Linked DNA regions of Caenorhabditis elegans. The protein of the gene in region 3 purifies or fractionates together with the protein of the main gene of each other region. This does not show direct contact. Each region holds a gene or a part of one and is shown on either strand. Other genes may lie near its edges. The genes, in order: F09C12.2, K02F6.7 and oac-29.

Region 1 (4,674 bases), on a different chromosome or scaffold from region 3:
GGAACAGCTTGACACAATTAAAAACTATTAGGATCTTTGTTAAAGAAGCTTTGAGAAGCTTGGATATAATAAATTCAATATTAAATCTAAAAACTAAAACCAAAATTGTTTAGGTTATCTGGCGGCATCCCTCCTTCAAAAAAATCGAAAAATCATCTGGATCGAAGAAACATCGACCGAATACGAGAAGGATACAGTGAGAAACGACGATTTATTCCGAAAATTCGAGACAAGCGAGCTAGTGTTAGATTTTACATTTTCTTCTGTTGGCCCCAAACAGTAAATTTTCAGAGTGATAGTTCATCAAAACTTGATGACAAAGATCGAATAGTGAGATTGCGAAAGTCTCGACAGGAGTTAAGGAAAACCAGTAAAGATGATGACCGTGGAGTGTGACAATGACAATTTATCTAGTATGTAATATTTTAATTCTTCTACTAATTCTTTTGATGATCAGTGATGAAATATGATAAACGGGTTATTTTTTGTTTGACTGATGGTTGCAGGGGTTCTGAATAAACAACTAGGAAAATATATGGAATTAAATAATGGAAAGGAATAATGCGCAAATTAAAAAAAAATCTCTCCCTTATGAATTTCCTCCTCAAAATACTGCAGATTTTTCCTAAACCGTTCCAAATTAACTTAAAAATTGTATTTTATTAAATAATTGTATTTTATTGCCGGCGACAAAATTTAAAAAAAAACTGAGGAATATGAATGGTTTTATTTAAAAAAATTTTTTTTCGAGGTCTGCAACAGGGCTGTGCGACAACCGGCAACCGAGTTTCATATTTAAACATAAAAATTTTTCAAATTTTAATTTCTAAATTAAATCAATCTGAATTAAAAATATGAATATGAATTCAATCTGAAATTGTGGTTATTTGTTGCTTCTGGAACTTTTTTGGACAGCATCATTTTTAAAGAAAAACCGAAACCCTTATTGCCCAACTCGATCGAAAACATTTTCAGGTTAAACAAATTTCCAAAAAGCTTCCAGAGCTCTACACCCAATTATAAAAGGTCTGAAGGACTTCATTTCAATTTCGTTTTTTTTTGAGAATACAAATTTCCAACTGGAGACCTTGACAAACAGAGAAAGAACGTCGGCACTAAAATATTTTCAGAAAAGTTTATGGGAAGAGCACAATATGCAATATTATATTTGTTTGTGATTCATTACATAACTGATCTGTCAATAGCATAAAAATAATAAACTCCTTCTCCTTTCTTTGTTGAGCAGCCACTTCAATTCTTAAACTGTAAATATTGAACGAAATATTATCAATTCTTCAACTGTGAATCTGTTTTTCTTAAATCTGATAAATATACATCTGTTACATTAAACATAAAGGAAGTTTTGATAAGAAACCATGTGCTGAGATGAAATTTTTATGATTTCTCGAATGCTTATGGACTGCAGAGGACGATGACTTGAATCATAGGCGGAATCATTCTTTAAAAAATTCTTCACCGGAAAACATTTGATAACATCACCAAAAGTACGCAGTGTCTGTCTCTCTTATCAGGACACGCCTCAATTTCCATAATAAAACCCACGGAGTTCTGACATAAACAAGCTGACAAGAAAGGTCAGAGAAGAAAAAAACAAATGTTGAAGACACGTTCAACTGTAACTCTTTACAGAGCTCCAGACTATTATTCAAAAAACGTATTCCTTGAAGAGCAAAGCGGATCGAAATCTTGCTCAAATGATTTATTTTGTCTGGAAGCAACTCAATATTTGGCCCAAGAAAACCTGGGAGCTGGGGCTTTTGGAGTAGTGTGCAGAGCAATCGATTCAGTAAGTTTCTTTGTTTAAAAAACATTTCAACAAAAAATCTGAAAGTGTCTCTGGAACTTATTTTTAATATTTTTTTTTGCTGCAAGTATAAAGATGTCAAAATTAACTGTTGAATCGTGTGAGACTCATCTTCAAAAAATTTAAGGTTTTCGGAGTAGGGTAGGCACGTCTGCCATCTGTGATTCCTTGTTAGTGTAGTGGATTCCAAGTCAGGACATTTTGATTACTTCGAAGAGAGTAATCATTTACATATACATTAATTACCGAACGAATTTAAATTATCTTCACCCTCGCGTCTGCAAATTGATAAAAAACCTTGAACACAGACTCCATATGATTTGAAAACTATTCCTGTTGTTTATTACTACAAAAACAAATTACAAAACGAAATTCAACCAATTTCTTTATCATTCTTTCAGTTTCAACACCTTTTTTATTGGAAAATAAATAAACATTGCGATGATCAACAGAAATATACAATTTTGCAGAAGCTCAACAAACAAGTAGCCATCAAAAAAATAACGCGAGTTTTCAAAAATCAATCAACTGCAAAATGTGCACTGCGAGAGATTCGGATAACTCGAGAACTTTCTCATGAAAATATAATTAATTCAACTGATGTTTTAATGAGAGAAAGTGGTTCGGGTCAGGATATTTATATAGTTATGGATCTTATGGAAACTGATCTTTTGAGTGTTTTGAAATCAAATCAGACATTGAACGAAAAACATTTTCAATACTTCTTTTATCAAATTCTCAAAGGCTTGAAGGTTTACTCACTCTAAATTCTCTTCGAAAACTTTAGAATTTGTTTCAGTATCTCCATTCCGCTGGAATTATTCATCGAGACTTGAAACCTGCGAATCTACTTTTAAATGAAGATTGCTCATTAAAAATTGCTGATTTTGGAATGTCAAGATCCGGTCCATCCACTAAAACGACACCGAATACTAGCCCAAATGCACACATTAGCGGCGACTTATCAGTAAGCGGAAGAATTCGAATGTTTTGAAATATTTATTATAATTTCAGCAATATGTGTCAACACTTTGGTACCGTGCACCAGAAATTCTTCTTTCGATGGGCGAGTATGATACTCAGTAAGTTGATAAAATGGAATAAATGTGAAACTCTGAAAAAAAGTCTAAATTATCTGAAAGCAACTTGGAGATTAGGAACTTGCATAAAAGCTTGAAAAATATCAAAAATATATATTCTTCCAAATGTTGAAGATTGACCAAAAACTTTGACTACAACTGGCAAATAATTTTTGTAATTTTTTATTGTTGTATTTGGAGATATTTTCTCTTAACCAAGGAAATATAAAATCGATATTTCCTTTGAATACTTTTCATTTCATTAACCACACTGTTTTAAAGAGTAGATATCTGGTCAGCCGGATGTATTCTGGCGGAAATGCTTCTCCTCCGTCCAATATTTACTGGAACAGATTCCTACTCTCAAATACAACTTCTCATTGAATATCTTGGAACTCCCGACGAACAAGTAATCAGAAGAATTAAATCACCATCAATCAGAGATTATATTTCTTCATTTGGCCCGAAAACTCCCCTTCCGTTTACGGCAATGTTCCCAAATGCCAGTATTGAAGCTAGAAATATTGTTTCAAAGGTCAGTTTCATATTAGAAATATCATATATTTCTGAAAACTTAGATGCTACAAATATCACCTTGGAAACGATTTTCGGCCGAACAACTTCTGGAGGAACCCTTTGTAAAGCACTGGCACACCGTCAAAAATGAGCCAAGCTGCCCAAATCAGTAAGTTGTAACGATTCAATAAAGTATCAATTCAAAATTTCAGCATTCGACAAAATCTGCTGGAAACTGCCAAATATGAAGGTGATGTTATCATAAAAGGTCTTCAAGAAGAAGTCAGGATATTTGAGAAGAAACAAAAAGTTTATCCGAGTGAGGGATCGAAAGTTACACACAAAAATTCATTGAAACAAGTATTTGGAAAAATACTCTTTAAGAATAATAAAATCTAAATTGTGGAAAAAAAAACTTTCAATTTCAACTTCTCAAAAATAAATCGTATTGCGATAAAAAACTATCAAGATTTTGAATTGTATAATACAAGTTTTTTCTACAGAGGTAGAAAATTTGGAACAGCGGTTCATGTTGCTGGCTTAAAATTCAATTCATCCTGTGATGAAAATGATGTTTAAAAATGAAAATTCCCTTAAGATCAGTTAACTTCACGGACGGGTTCGAAATTGCAGGTTTTTTTGGGATTTAAGCCCTAATTCAGATCAACAAGTTTCCGAAAATTTTGAAGCTCCAACTAATTCAAATTAGCTAATTTCATTGAAATATGCAAGGTCTATCGAGGAAAACAGACAATAAGAATATTTAATTAAAAAAAAAAACATCAGAAAATAATATTTAGTATTTTACTTTGCAATAACCTTTTGATGCGGTTTACACGTGAATCTAAAACATGAAAAATAATCAATAAATATTGAAACAGAACGGAAAAAGACAATTTCAATCATTACTTAACTACTTGGCAATTCAAGATTGACGATATTCCAATGGGTCGTTGTGAACAAGACAGTGAGTTTTTTATTCGTTATTATTTTGGTGAATAAAATTTCAATTTTCAGAGAAAAATGCAGAGGACAATTCTGAAGTCGGATCATACAATTGTCCATCAAACCGGGATCACCGGGATTCATCGCGCCGAGCCCAGTAAGTTCTGAGACTCGAATGGCCGGCATAACTACTGCTAGCCTACCGAAATAAGGGAAATTTAACAAAGCTGTTTTATGCAACATGCCCTTAATTTATTGGCAAAGAATGTTCAATATATCGATGAATTTTCAGTCACCCAAACGAGATCT
Region 2 (6,866 bases), on a different chromosome or scaffold from region 3:
CATCTTCCAACTTTGATACGTTCTTGAAAATGTGCGAGAGCTGAAATTCCTTCTTGGTGGCGACCATTGCGAAGAGTCTTGCTGAAATTTGAAATTTAAAATGTGCGCTGTTTATGAAATGAGAAAATATTGGAAAGCAGTCGGAAAATCATGAATTGAATGAAAAATCGTTCCGAAACTGGTAAAATAAAATGGTTTTAACGGAAAATCATGGGAAAAATCAATTAATCTCAAGTTGCGGACTTGCATTGCTTACCGTAGTTCGAAAAAAAAAAATCAATTTTGGATTAAATTTAACAAAATTTTCAACTAAAATCAACTCTGGAAGGTGATTTTTCTGAATTTCTCATTAGAAATATTCAAATTCCCATCTCATTTCAGTGAAAATCGGTATCGATAAATCGGCATCGAGAAAAAATCGATATTTCCCGATTTTTTTTTGAGAAAGGCAAAGAAATTTGAATTTTTCTTTGAAACGTTGCGATTTTTACCATAAAAATATGGTACCCGGTCTCGACGATTTTCTGAAATTTAAAAAAAAAAAAAAAAGTTCTCAACAACTTCTTGTGTTCATCCTCAATTCCTAAAAAAATAACGAAGTATAGCCTAAAAATTTTAACAAAAATTCAGCGAAAATTCAAATTTTTTTCAGGAGTGCACCAATGGCTCAGTGGGAATTTCCACGCTTGGCTCTACCAATCAGAAGACCGGGGTTCGAGCCCCGCGGTGGTAAGAACTTTTTCAAAAAGCTTCTAGGCTAATTCGCAAGTGCTGAATTCAAATTGTACACTTTTAAAAATTGAAACTAACTGCAAATCTTAAATAATTTCATAAAATAAAGGGAAATAATCCATAATCATACAATTAGTTTCACAATGAGAGAAAAAAAACACTTGTATAATTATACGACATTTAAATTACAACGAAAAACATTTAAAAATCAGTTCTGATCCTTTGTGGAATCCTGCTCACAAGCGAGATTATCGAGCGTCTCCTCAAGCTGGCTTATTTGAATCTCTATATCAGCATCTTTAGCAAAAGCATCAGAATATTCGATAGGAAGGTTGACGCCATCGGCGAATCCAGCAGGGTGCAGACGCGGATCTCTGAAAAAAATGATTTAGTAAAAAAATGTTGGCAACAAGGCCCTCGTCAGGCCACGTTTTGGCCCTTAGCCTACGCCTAGGCCTAAGCTTGAGCTTAAACCTAAGCTTGAGCTTAAGCCTAAGCTTGAGCTTAAACCTAAGCTGGAGCTTAAGCCTAAGCTTGAGCTTAAGCCTAAGCTTGAGCTTAAGCCTAAGCTTGAGCTTAAGCCTAAGCGTGAGCTTAAGCCTAAGCGTGAGCTTAAGCCTAAGCCTAAGGCCCTGAGCCTAAGTCCCTAAGCTTGAGGCGCTAAGCCAAATCCCTAAGCCTAAGCTTAAGGCCATAAGCCTAAAGTTCTAAGCCTAAGTCCCTAAGCTAGAGGCGCTAAGCCTAATCTCTAAGCCTAAGCCAAAGATCCTAACAATAAGCCTAAGGCTCTAAGCTTAAGGCGCTAATCCTAATCCCTAAGCCTAATCCCTAAGTTTAAGCCTGAGCCTAAGCCTACGCCTAAGCCTGAACCAAAGCCTCAGTCTAAGCCTAAGCCTAAACCAAAGCCCCATTCTAAGCCTAAACCTAAGCCTAAGCCTAATCCCAAGCCCGGCAAACTCACGCGACATGCATGTAGATCGTCTTGTCCAGTCTAGCCACATACAAGTGTGCAATGTGCTCGGTATACTTGACAACTCTCGCAGCGAGCAAATCCGCACGTCGATTTCTCGTCCTCCCCGAAGATGGCAGGAACCAGGAGACCTCCGCACACTTTGTTCCAGCCCAAGGCGTAAGCGATCCGGCGGTTGGGTTGAACTTCGAATCCCTCAACATTGCTCCGTGCTTCATGTGGACTCCGATCTCGTTGCTTAGAATTTTCTGGAAGAGGTTCTTGCCTACTGGCCTAATTTTCAAAAATACCCTTACCCTATCAAACATTGCTCTCTTTTCAGATTCGTTGAGACGGGGAACTCTGGCTTTCTGGAAAAGTAAAAAGCCTAAACTACCACAGTCTTGCTGAAGGCCTCACCTCTTTATCAGTCAGGCAATAGGTTCGGATATAGGCGTCCACGTTACTCTCGCCTTCAATTTTCTGCACGCCATCCGGTAGATCAATCGGAAAATGCAGTCTCTCCAGGTCGCGATACCCGAAAATTCTCGCATCATTCAAGTGGAATTGCACAGGCATCTTGTTATCCTGAAAATGAATTAAATATTTCTTAAAATATTCTGAAACTAAATAAACGCACCGACAACAGCGAGTCCCTGACAAGCTCCGTTCCACGTGAAATTTGAAAAAAGTAGGAATCCGTCAGGCCTGTTTTTCTAGTCTTGCACTTGACATGTGCCAGGTAGAAATGGTCCTCTTCCAGGTAGACAAGGACTTGAAGATCCTGAAAAACAGGAAAACAGTCTGAGTGTGGGGGACTGGGCAGAGCTCTGGCGAAAATTTGATCTTAGGCTTAGGCTTAGGCTCAGGCTTAGGCTCTGGCTAAGGCTTAGGGTTAAGCTTAGGCTTAGGCTTAGGCTTAGGCAAAGGCTTAGACTTAGGCTTATGCTTTGATTCAGACTGAAGCTTAGATTTAAGCTTAGGCTTAGGATTAGAATTAGGATTATGCTTAGGGTCAGGATTCAGGCTTATGGTTAGGGTTAGGCTTAGGCTAAGGTTGAGGCCTAGGCTTAGGCTTAGGCTGAGGAATAGTCTTAGTCTTAGGCTGAGGCCAAGGCTTAGGCCTAGGCTTAAACCTTACCTTACTGGACGGAGCTCTGGCAAGAATTTTATCTAAATACAAGTCTTACTTTTACTTAGACTTAGGCTTAGGCTTAGGCTTAGGCTTTGGCTTTGGCTTAAGCTTAGGCGTAGGCTTAGGCTTAGGTCTAGGCTCAGGCTGAGCCTTAGGCGTGCCTGAGATACATCTGCCCGACTCTGTTCAATAATCCTTCAAACCTGAAATCGATGAGGCGAAATCGTATTGTTCCGAAAAATGTGACGATCCACGATAACCCGCTGATCCCTATCATTCTCCAGTTTGATCAGAATTTTGTAAGTCATCCCAGCAGCTCTTTCGTCTGGAAAAAAGAAGTTATTTTCCGCGCCAAAAGACAAAGATCACCCACCATTTGTCTCCTTCAACTTGTCAGCCCAGCCGAGTTCATGACAGAATGGACTGAACATGTGCACACATCTCACGAACAATCCATTTCTGATAAAAATCAGTCCGTTGTGATTTTCAATGATCTCTACGATGGTGCATTTCCATGGTTCATCGTCGTGTTGATACTCCATGAAATCGCCTTTTTTGAGAAGCTCGAAGACTTTTTTGTTGAAAAATCCCGACAAATTTTGGAAAGCTTCGATGGAATAAAGGTTGTCGGTCTTTTTGCGAATCCATTTGAATTTTCTGAAAAAAATATGAAGGTTATTGGTTTTTATCAACAAACAAAAATCCTCACAATGGCTCCATTTTGAGCACTTCCGTGGACTTAATGACTTGATCATAGCTGATTTGAGTTTCTGGCTCTGGATCCGATTTGTTCGCTTTGACGATACGGACGCAAATGTTGTCTGGACCAGCGTTCTGTAAAATATCGTTTTATTCAGTCAAATTTAAGTGATGAAAACCGAAAATTCTGATTAAGACTCTACAAATGTTAGCAATATGACTCTAAAAATCAACTAAAACTGATCTAAACATATATTTTAAGCGGAATCCAGGATTTTTCGAAAATGCACAAGTGGCGCAGTGGGAATTTCCATGGTTGGCTCTACCAATCAAATGACCGGGGTTCGAGCCCCTACTGTGGCAAAATTTTTTTCAAAGTCCTTTATTATGAATCAGGTGCGTTCGACTCAAAATTCATAGTTTTACCGTACAACAAAATTTTATTTTTGCTTTAAAAAACTGAATTTGAGTTCAAAAAGCTAAAAATCCTGCCGCGTTCCCTCAATTCTCAAGAAATATTAGTAGTGCAACTCTAAAAATCAACTAAAACTTATCTAAACCTATATGTTAAGCTAAATCTGAAATTTTCAGAAAATGCGCAAGTGGCGCAGTGGGAATTGCCATGGCTGGCTCTAACAATCTGAACACCGGGGTTCGAGCCCCAATGTGGCAAAAATATTTTTTCGAGTTTGTCGTAGGGTATTTCAAATGCGCTTAACTCAAAATTTAGCTTTTAAACCCATGAAAAATAAAATTTTCGCTCAAAAATCTGAATTTTCTACTGACTTTCCTTAATTCTACACAAAATTTTAGTGGTATAAGTCTAAAATTTAACTAAACGCACTGGACTAACTCTATAAAACCTATTTTAAGCAAAATCTAGAATTTTTTTTAAAAATGCACAAGTGGCGCAGTGGGAATTTCCATGGTTGGATCTACCAATCAAATGACCGGGGTTCGAGCCCCAATGTGGCCTAATTTTTTTAAAAAGTTGTGTTAGGGTAATTCAGGTCTGTTGAATTCAAAAATTTTAGTCCCCAGACTTCCCCGACTAACCACAACTCTTGCCGGGTAGGTCCCATCATCTGTCCTAACGTAGATCACCAATCCTTGTGGCATTATCCACTCCTTGACAGTAAGCATCGACTGCTTGTAGGGACTTGTGAAGTGTTCGTACTTTTGTCCTGCTTGTGCCTGCCAAATTTTGATAATGAATCGGTAACAACTCGGAAATTCTCACCTCAACATACTCGCCCCATTTTTTATTTGCCTTTAACTGCTCAAGCTGCTGCTGTGAGAGGGGAACGCGAAGAGCAGCCATTGCTAGAAGTACTGAAAATCAGTAATTATTAGAAAAAAGAGAGAAAAATGCCGAAAAAACTAGCAAAACTGATCGAAAACTCCCAGTTGTATCGAAAACAAACAGAAAAATGCAAAAAATCGCGGCGAACTGATGTGGTAGATCAAAAATAATTTTTTGGTAAATTTGATCTACAAAATATATTTTTCTCGAAAAATGAAATTTTAAAAAAATTTCTGTGTCCAAGTGGTAGTTCATAAATGGTGTAACTTTCTGTCGGCAAACTCGGCTATTGGAAAATTGCCGATTTGCCGGAATTTTCATCATCGGCACATTATCCATTTGCCGGAAATTTTCATTTTCGGCAATTTGCCGATTTGCCGGAAGTTTTAAATTCCGGCACTTTGTCGGTTTGCCGAAAACTTTTGTTTTCGGAAATGTGCCGCTTTGCCGGAAATTTTCATTTTCAACGATTTGCCGATTTGCCGGAAATTTTAAACTCCGGCAATTTGCCGGTTTGCCGGAAATTTTCATTTTTGGTGATTTGCTGATTTTCCGGAAATTTTCATTTTTCGTGATTTGCCGATTGTCCGGAAATTTTCATTTTTGGTGATTTTCCGATTGTCCGGAAATTTTCATTTTCGACAATTTGCCGATTTGCCGGAAATTTTAAATTCCGGCACTTTGCCGGTTTGCCGAAAACTTTTATTTTCGGAAATGTGCCGCTTTGCCGGAAATTTTCATTTTCAACGATTTGCCGATTTGCCGGAAATTTTAAACTCCGGCAATTTGCCGGTTTGCCGGAAATTTTCATTTTTGGTGATTTGCTGATTTTCCGGAAATTTTCATTTTTCGTGATTTGCCGAGTGTCCGGAAATTTTCATTTTTGGTGATTTTCCGATTGTCCGGAAATTTTCATTTTCGACAATTTGCCGATTTGCCGGAAATTTTAAATTCCGGCACTTTGCCGGTTTGCCGAAAACTTTTATTTTCGGAAATGTGCCGATTTGCCGGAAATTTCATCATCGGCACATTATCGATTTGCCGGAAATTTTCATCATCGGCACATTGCCGATTTGCCGGAAATTTTCATTTTTGGTGATTTGCTGATTTGCCGGAAATTTTCATTTTCGGCGAATTGCCGATTTGCCGGAAATTTTCATCATCGGCACATTGCCGGTTTGCCGGAAATTTTCATTTTTGGTGATGTGCTGATTTGCCGGAAATTTTCATTTTCGGCGATTAGCCGATTTGCAGGAAATTTTAAATTGTAATTAAAAAAAAAATTTTTAACACTTAAATTGCGCCTTTTTCCCGTTTTCTTTAGATATGCTTTAGATATGAGGATGCGTAAAATTTTGACAACTAAATGTGAAATTCTGAATTTCCAAAAAAAAGATGTAGAAAACCATAAGTCGGCAATTGCCGATTTTCAGGCAAATTCGGCAAATCAGCATTTTTCGGGAACTTTTTAATTCCGGCAATTTGCCGCCCACACCTGGTGTAACTTCAACAGCACTCTAAAAAAAAAATTACTAAAAGTGCACTTTAAAATTTTATTTTATTTTTTTATTTCAGCTCCAAACCGACGCATCTAATTGCATTTTCATCGACCGCTCCCCAAAACATTTCGACTTAATCCTGAACTTCCTGAGAGACGGTGACGTGGATCTTCCTGAACAAGGAAAAGAGCTCAAGGAAGTAAGGAGAGAGGCTCAATTTTACCTGTTGGAGGGTTTAGTCGATTTGTGTGATAGGAAATTGATAGGAAACAGCAATTTGTTTGTTGAAAAGTGATACTGACAAGTTGGAGTTTCAAATGAAAAGCGACAGGGTACGGTGATAGTTGAGAAGTTTGAGAAGAATCTAATTTTCTGTTTTCAGCCCCGTCTTTTGATCGAATATGGAAAGATATTGGATTTGGTGGAATACCAAAGATTGGGTTTCAATGTGTCGGATATCATGGAAAGATATGGAAATCAATTGCACATTGCTTTTCGTTAGTTTTCATACCCTATAATAACGTTAATAACATACATTTTAGAAAAAAA
Region 3 (6,632 bases):
TTTCAAAAAATATTGTAGTTTTTGGAGTGTGTTCTTTTTATTTTGTAAGTATAATTGTGTATGTACTTATGTTATGTATGTACCAAATATTATTCACGTGATTTTCACTGAACATAAAACTTACAGTGTCTGTCTGATTTTTTCTGAAATACAAATATTACCAGCAAGAGAAAAGTGCAAAGTTCACTTCTTCGGTTAAGTTATATCTCAAATTTTTAATAAAAATCTGTATAGTCTCTCTCTCATAAAAATATTGATGATTTAAACTATAGTTGACTAAAAAATTCCAGAATAATTTGTCCCCTTTGGAAAGCATTTCCTGTTGTACCTTTTTCCAATTTCCTTTCAATTATCAATGCAATAACCTCAAGTTTTCATATCCTTATGGCTTTTCAAACTGCATCCGGTTGCATTTTCAATAACCGTTTTCAAAATTTTGAATCAATTCCATTTCATTCTGGTATAGCACCTGGACGTCGAACAAGGTAAGACTATCTAGCTTTTTTTAAAATTAAATGTGTATTTTTTCCAGAATGAATTCAATTTTCTGTTGTTTCAACTCAAAACAAGCAGAATGGCTTGCCCCAATAATAATGAGTCAACCTGTTCCATTTTCAACACCGCCGAGACCTGGATTCAAAGTTGCACCGGAACCTCCTGAAGGAAAGGGACCATCGATAATTTATGAAGACGGTTTTACAAAAAACGATGTTCCGGTTGGATTTTATGTTTCTGATTTATCAGGACAAGATATTTAATCATTAGAGTAATTTGAAAGAAATAATAAAAAAAATGTTTTTGAAATGTTGTTTTTTTTTGTTTTTAACAATGAAAATAACGCCAAAATTAAAATTTCAGCAAAACAAGTTTTTTTTTGAAACCAGTTAAATCCAGTTCATTCGTTCCGTCCTTAAGTTACCTTTGTCCGCAGGTCTCTTTGGATGGATTAAAGGATTAGCACAGTTTCATTCCACAGTCATCTTCTTTTCTTTCACCAGAATCATCCAACTTTCCATTGCGATGCTTTCACCGTTCCTTCTTCTTTTTCTTCTCTTTTCTGCTCCAGCTTCCGCATTCTTTAATTCATTATTCGGTGGATCAAATTGTGGATGCTCGTGTACTCCTCCACCGTCTACATGTCCAACTACTTGTCTTCCAATCATGACGTGTACTCCACCTTCCCCGCCGGCATGTTGTAACACATGTGGAACTTGTAACGGAAAGAGAAGAAGACGGCACCTTACAATGTTAAGTAATGCTACATATGTGGCAGATCATGGTGAGTTTCAGTTTTTTTTAAGTTTCCAACTTATTTAAAACCTCTGAATTAATTCACCAATATCTTCAATATGTATTCAGAAAAAGTGAACCGAGTAAAGCGACAAGACGATCAAGAGACAACCGTAACATCAGGAAACTGCAACTCTGTCGAACTACAAAGAATTATCGAAAGTGTCAGTCAATTTACTTGATTTTAAAATGATGAGTTTACAAAATAGTTGAGTGAGACTTTGGAAGACTCGGTCTAAACCACTGTAATGAAGTTTACTTCAACTTTGTTTCAACTTCTGCGAAACTTTGAACCAAAATTTTCTTGCATATTAAATTTGGGTCAAACATCGTAAAAAGTTCATTCTAACTTGGGCGCAGCCTGATCGATGGCTTGCCAATGTCTCACCCAACTTTTTCCATTACTCTGAGATATTCCATTAATTCTTTTCAATTTTCAACCCTGAATAATTCAGGGTTCAAGTGTAATTATTTAATGCCTAAGAAATTCCCAAAAATACAATGTTATTTTCTTTCTCGAGTTACCAAAAAAATTGTGTTGGTGAGCTTCATAATTTTATATCATTTTCTAGAAAATAGACCGTGTGACTGCGATTGCAAAGCGAAGAATTCAAGAAGAAGCCGAGGCAACGATGGGTGGCCGATTCAATGTTATCTGTGCCCGAGGCGACTTTTCATACGTGGCAAATACTGAACTTTTCTGTCAACATTCTGTCGGTGATGTCACGTGTTTCTTGTTCAAACAACTTTCGGATGTTGTTAGAAGACGGCTGATGTGATACTAAATGGAAATATTAAGATATTCAAGGAATATCAATTAATTTTGAATGAAGAATTTAAAATAAATTTTTACACTGAATGAATATTTTTCAAAACATTAATCGTATAAAAAAACTTTTGGAATCTTGATGAGAAGATAAAAAACTTGCAATGAGATAAAAAAATGTTTCACAAGGGAAAAAGTGCATGTATCGAAAAGGAACCGTTGCAATTAGGTCAGTTTTTTGCAGGTGTCCTTTTAAAAATACATTTATAAAAAAGATAGAAAAGCCAGTTTTTTATTAAGTCTCTTATGTATTCCTGAACCATCTTCAGTTCTGCTGTTGCTTCTTTGAATCAAACTACTTGCAAGTCATCGAAATTTTCTGCGGGATTTCAGGCATTGTTGTTCAGCATGTACGTAGCAGAAAATATATCAGTTCAGTTTGTATATTCCGGGTACAAACAGATAAAGATTTATTTATTTTCCTTATTATTTTTGTGATGGTTATAATCATAAAGATTTTTCAAGTAAACTACCATCAGAAATTCCGTTTACGTAATCCCATGAACTTTTGGATTCACATTAAATAAGGTTAAAGAATTGAGAAAGTGTTGCGTTTGAAGAAATGAAAAACGCAATGATTGTCTGACCTGATTCAATATGCAAATCTAGACTATTTTAGATCGAACCTCCAATCGTTTCTCTTTTCGTGTTTTTCTTAGATCAAATCTTACTAGTTTCCGAGTTTAAAGGTGTAGTAGCTTCCGTGAAGATTTAGTTTTGGTAGAAAGTGGTCTGTAATGACCAAGTACTCGATACGATTGGTACTTTTGGGCTGAGTCACTTCCATTTTTCCATTTTCTCGAATGCCACCCATTTTTATCGGTTATTATCGTTTGAATTTTTCCACACATACATATGGATTTCACAAATTGTTTTCCAACTTTTTTTCATTTGTTAATGAATATGATAATAATTTTTCAATAATACAAAGCTTTTTTCAAAAAATAAATTTTCAAATATGAAACATTTTATGCAATTCTTTTTTAGTCAATTTTGGTTTTTTACACTGCCATTATTCCACTTTTAAGTTTTTTTCAGTTAAAAACACGAAATGTCCAGTTCAAAGTTTCAAAGTTTACAAGGCCTTCGCGGAATTTCTATTATTCTAGTACTAATCTTCCACCTATTTCCCAAAATTTTCAGCAACGGATTTGTGGGAGTTGATATGTGAGCCAATTTTTATTTTCAATTTTTATAACGCATTCAATTGTTATTTTTCAGGTTTTTTGTGCTTTCTGGATACTTGATGACTAAAATTCTGTCAAAAGAATTTACATTAAAATCGGTTCTGATTTTTTATAAAAATCGATTCATTAGAATAATTCCACTGTACTATTTGACAATATTTGGAACAATTATTGGTATTTTTAGAACTTTTTTCAAATAAGTTTAGTGTTGTATTTCAGGTGTTCTCTGTCTTGTACTACGAACTGAACGATCTGATTTCTTATTTGATGTCAGGTGGTGTCTCCCATTGATTTCAAATTTTCAACCAATATTTGAACATCATTCTTACTGGGATCAAGTATCTACAATTCGGTATTTAACTCATCTCTGGTCGCTTTGCACAGAACTGCAGTATTACCTGATGGCACCTATTATTTACTTCATAGCTTCAAACCTCTCAAATTCAAATCGTATATTTGGTTATTCTCTTGCAATAATTATATTGTTCTTATTTCAACTTTTAACTCCATTTGAACTCTCATATTGTTTTCTCGCATCAAGAGTTTGGCAGTTTTTACTTGGATCAGTAGCATTTGATCTGTCACAGAAGAATAACGAGACTATGGATTTTTATATTGAGATGAAGAAAAATAAGGAAAATTGGAATCTATTTGATATTGTTCCTTATATATTTCTAGCTGTATTAACGACAGTACTCATTTTACCATGGATGTTTGGAGAGCACCTCACACGGTTGGAATTCTATGAATACGATGAAAAATAATATTTATTTTTAGATTTGCAATGTCGATTTGCGCGGCAATATTGTGCCTTTTATGTGGTCGTCTGGAAAATTCATTTTTAACGTAAGTACTTATTTTCAAGAATTTATATATTGAAGTGGTGTTTCTTTTAAAAAACATGTTTGAATTTATTTTACGGTTAGGAAAAAATTTGAATTAGGTGAAACTGCGCAAGAGGTCATTGAAAAGGTCTCGGGCTTATTGTCCGGAACGGTCAATCACTTGTGGTGTAACTTTATTCGGCTAATCTAGAGTTTACTGAAATATTGTGTTTCCGAAAATGCTCACGCCGGCCTCGTGTATGGAAAGCGGCTCAAAAACTTAAAAATTAAAAGTTGGGGAATATATTTTTCAGATTTCCTCCGTTGGCATTTATTGGTGATATTTCCTATGTTACTTACCTGATTCACTGGCCAGTCATCAATTTTGTAAAGTACATTCAACAAAAAGATCATCTGAATTTGGAAGTTTATGGTGATTTTTCAACATTCCTAAACTAATATTTGATTAAACTTTTCAGAAGCTGTAATTGCAATTTTTGTAGTTTTTGTGTTATCTCTACTTTCACATTTTCTCATCGAGGTTTGTTGTTTTTTTTTAATGCGGTCAAAGATGAAAAGATTTAAAAAAGGAAAAGTAGAACAGTTTTCTGTTTTATTTAATTTATTTTTTGATATGTATTTTGATATCAAATAGAAGTGGTTCTAGAAAAATGAAAATAAGATTATTATTTACAAAAACAATTTTCAGAAGAAACTGTCCCAGTTTGATTTCTATATCAACTTTACAATTACCGCTTTCACGATTGGAATGTGTTTAGCCATGATTCCATGGATTGAAAATAATCAATGTCTTGCCATGAAAACATTATCTAATCCTTTGATTGAAAATGCTGAATTTAACTTTAATAAATCCAACACAATCATTCCAATTTCGGATCTTGGCTGTGATTTTAATGAAACTACTGCGAAATTGCCCTTGAACACGTTTGGTATTGAATATTGTTCAAAAGTAAGTAATCGGTAGATTACTATTTTTGGAGCACTTCTAATTTCAGAAAGGAAATGGCACCGGAACTATAATGGTAATTGGAAATTCGCTTTCGATACGAGCTTTTTCGACTATTTTCAAGCTTTTTGACGGAAGATATGAAGAAATTCGATTATTTGCAAAACATGGTATGGTTATTTTGTTAAGCCTGTGTGTTTTGGTAGTATGACGTCACTTCAATTTTCAGGTGGAGCTCCACTTCTAAATATTGTCCCACTGTATAATGCAGTTGTTCTTGACATGGCAAGAGATATTAAACCTGATCTTTTGTGGATTATTCAGGGAATGAAGTTAGTTTTTTTTTAATTATTTTTGGGGATTTGGCCGGCGTAATCGTCTAATTTTCTGTACAAAAAAATATAACTTTTTGAAAAAACATTTGAATTTCTGTTTCGAAAAATAATATGTTTCAGCGAAATCACTTTTCATGGTACCTCTAACACCTACAACTTCGAGTCAAATGCTCTTGATGAAGTGATTCCTAAGACGTTGGATACATTCAAGACTGTTGCGAAAATGGTTTTCATTGATCTTCCATATTATGTTACAATAGACTATCCAGCAAAGTTGATGGCAAGAAGCTTGATTTATAGAAAAAATCTGGAAGAAAAGTTGGCGGTCAACTTTAAGACCGTCAACAGACAACTTTCAGACCAAACTGATAGACTATTGAATGCTAATTGCAGTAATTGTCAATTTAATGATATTCAGAAGGTATTTCTAAGCGTCAAGTTAGGAAAAAAACAATTTTATTTCAGGCTCTCACGAATGGATCCGACAAGTTTTATCTCTTCGAAAAAGATACCTATAAAGCATTGACTTACGATGGATCTCACTTGACACTTACCGGATTTAAATATATTGAACCCATTTACCAAAAAGGAATTGATAGTTACTTTCAAATGTTAGATTCCAGTGAAAACCTCTAATTTTTTATCCTTATTTCTGATTTTCAGATCTTATTTGTATATTTAGATATATAAAATAGTGTCCAATTTTCTATCGATTAAATCGATGGTAGGCCTAAGTAGCTTATAAATTATATAATATTGAAATTGATTTGGAAAAGTTTTGACAGCTACAGTACTCCAAAAATGCCACCAAGCTAAATAGACTTTTTTAAGGCAAATATAATTTTTTTTTTCAATTTTGACTAAATCTACCAAAACTTTATACAATTGTAAGATTCTTTTTTTTGCTTCATATATGGGCTTATTTTGACAAAAATTCGATCCATTTGTCTGTAAACGCTCGAGCAACATAAAACCATGCGGCATCATTGCAAAAACGCGCGCGGTGGTTGCAAACGCGTACACAATGAACTCCGCCCATCAGCTGACGTACTGGTGACCCGTCTCTCTTCAGTCTGTTTTCACCTCGTTGCGCTCTGTTTATCGACTCTATTCTTTTCTCAGTCTAAAAACAATTTATTCGATTTTTTATTTAATTCTTTTATTAGACTTTTTTCAACTCTTTTCTTGGTTTCCAGGACTATT

Evidence for each region.
Region 1: the proteins of oac-29 (region 3) and F09C12.2 fractionate together in Caenorhabditis elegans (co-fractionation; one large-scale study listed by BioGRID). This does not show direct contact.
Region 2: the proteins of oac-29 (region 3) and K02F6.7 fractionate together in Caenorhabditis elegans (co-fractionation; one large-scale study listed by BioGRID). This does not show direct contact.

The regions. Positions count from the first base shown.
Region 1 is NC_003280.10:5,108,414-5,113,087, forward strand, and holds F09C12.2 (Mitogen-activated protein kinase), read left to right. Parts: upstream 1-1,598; 5' UTR 1,599-1,615; coding exon 1,616-1,807; intron 1,808-2,295; coding exon 2,296-2,577; intron 2,578-2,624; coding exon 2,625-2,792; intron 2,793-2,839; coding exon 2,840-2,907; intron 2,908-3,186; coding exon 3,187-3,439; intron 3,440-3,482; coding exon 3,483-3,589; intron 3,590-3,632; coding exon 3,633-3,819; 3' UTR 3,820-3,830; downstream 3,831-4,674. Other genes in the region: mpk-2 (Mitogen-activated protein kinase), read left to right, coding at 114-243, 292-396; F09C12.8 (Protein UBASH3A homolog), read left to right, coding at 4,366-4,387, 4,438-4,522, 4,658-4,674.
Region 2 is NC_003280.10:2,524,409-2,531,274, forward strand, and holds K02F6.7 (Tudor domain-containing protein), read right to left. Parts: upstream 4,848-6,866; 5' UTR 4,837-4,847; coding exon 4,756-4,836; intron 4,710-4,755; coding exon 4,572-4,709; intron 3,651-4,571; coding exon 3,526-3,650; intron 3,474-3,525; coding exon 3,190-3,473; intron 3,142-3,189; coding exon 3,020-3,141; intron 2,612-3,019; exon of another isoform or gene 2,562-2,611; intron 2,466-2,561; coding exon 2,322-2,465; intron 2,270-2,321; coding exon 2,102-2,269; intron 2,053-2,101; coding exon 1,999-2,052; intron 1,951-1,998; coding exon 1,694-1,950; intron 1,107-1,693; coding exon 941-1,106; 3' UTR 813-940; downstream 1-812. Other genes in the region: K02F6.6 (DUF4296 domain-containing protein), read left to right, coding at 6,635-6,649, 6,700-6,814, 6,860-6,866.
Region 3 is NC_003283.11:8,631,371-8,638,002, reverse strand, and holds oac-29 (Acyl_transf_3 domain-containing protein), read left to right. Parts: upstream 1-2,327; 5' UTR 2,328-2,466; intron 2,467-3,154; 5' UTR 3,155-3,167; coding exon 3,168-3,283; intron 3,284-3,337; coding exon 3,338-3,477; intron 3,478-3,522; coding exon 3,523-4,036; intron 4,037-4,080; coding exon 4,081-4,149; intron 4,150-4,441; coding exon 4,442-4,560; intron 4,561-4,606; coding exon 4,607-4,668; intron 4,669-4,836; coding exon 4,837-5,097; intron 5,098-5,143; coding exon 5,144-5,264; intron 5,265-5,323; coding exon 5,324-5,426; intron 5,427-5,549; coding exon 5,550-5,850; intron 5,851-5,894; coding exon 5,895-6,065; 3' UTR 6,066-6,132; downstream 6,133-6,632. Other genes in the region: F28A12.10 (Chlorophyll a-b binding protein, chloroplastic), read left to right, coding at 385-485, 533-758; grl-12 (Ground-like domain-containing protein), read left to right, coding at 1,021-1,279, 1,360-1,454, 1,863-2,069.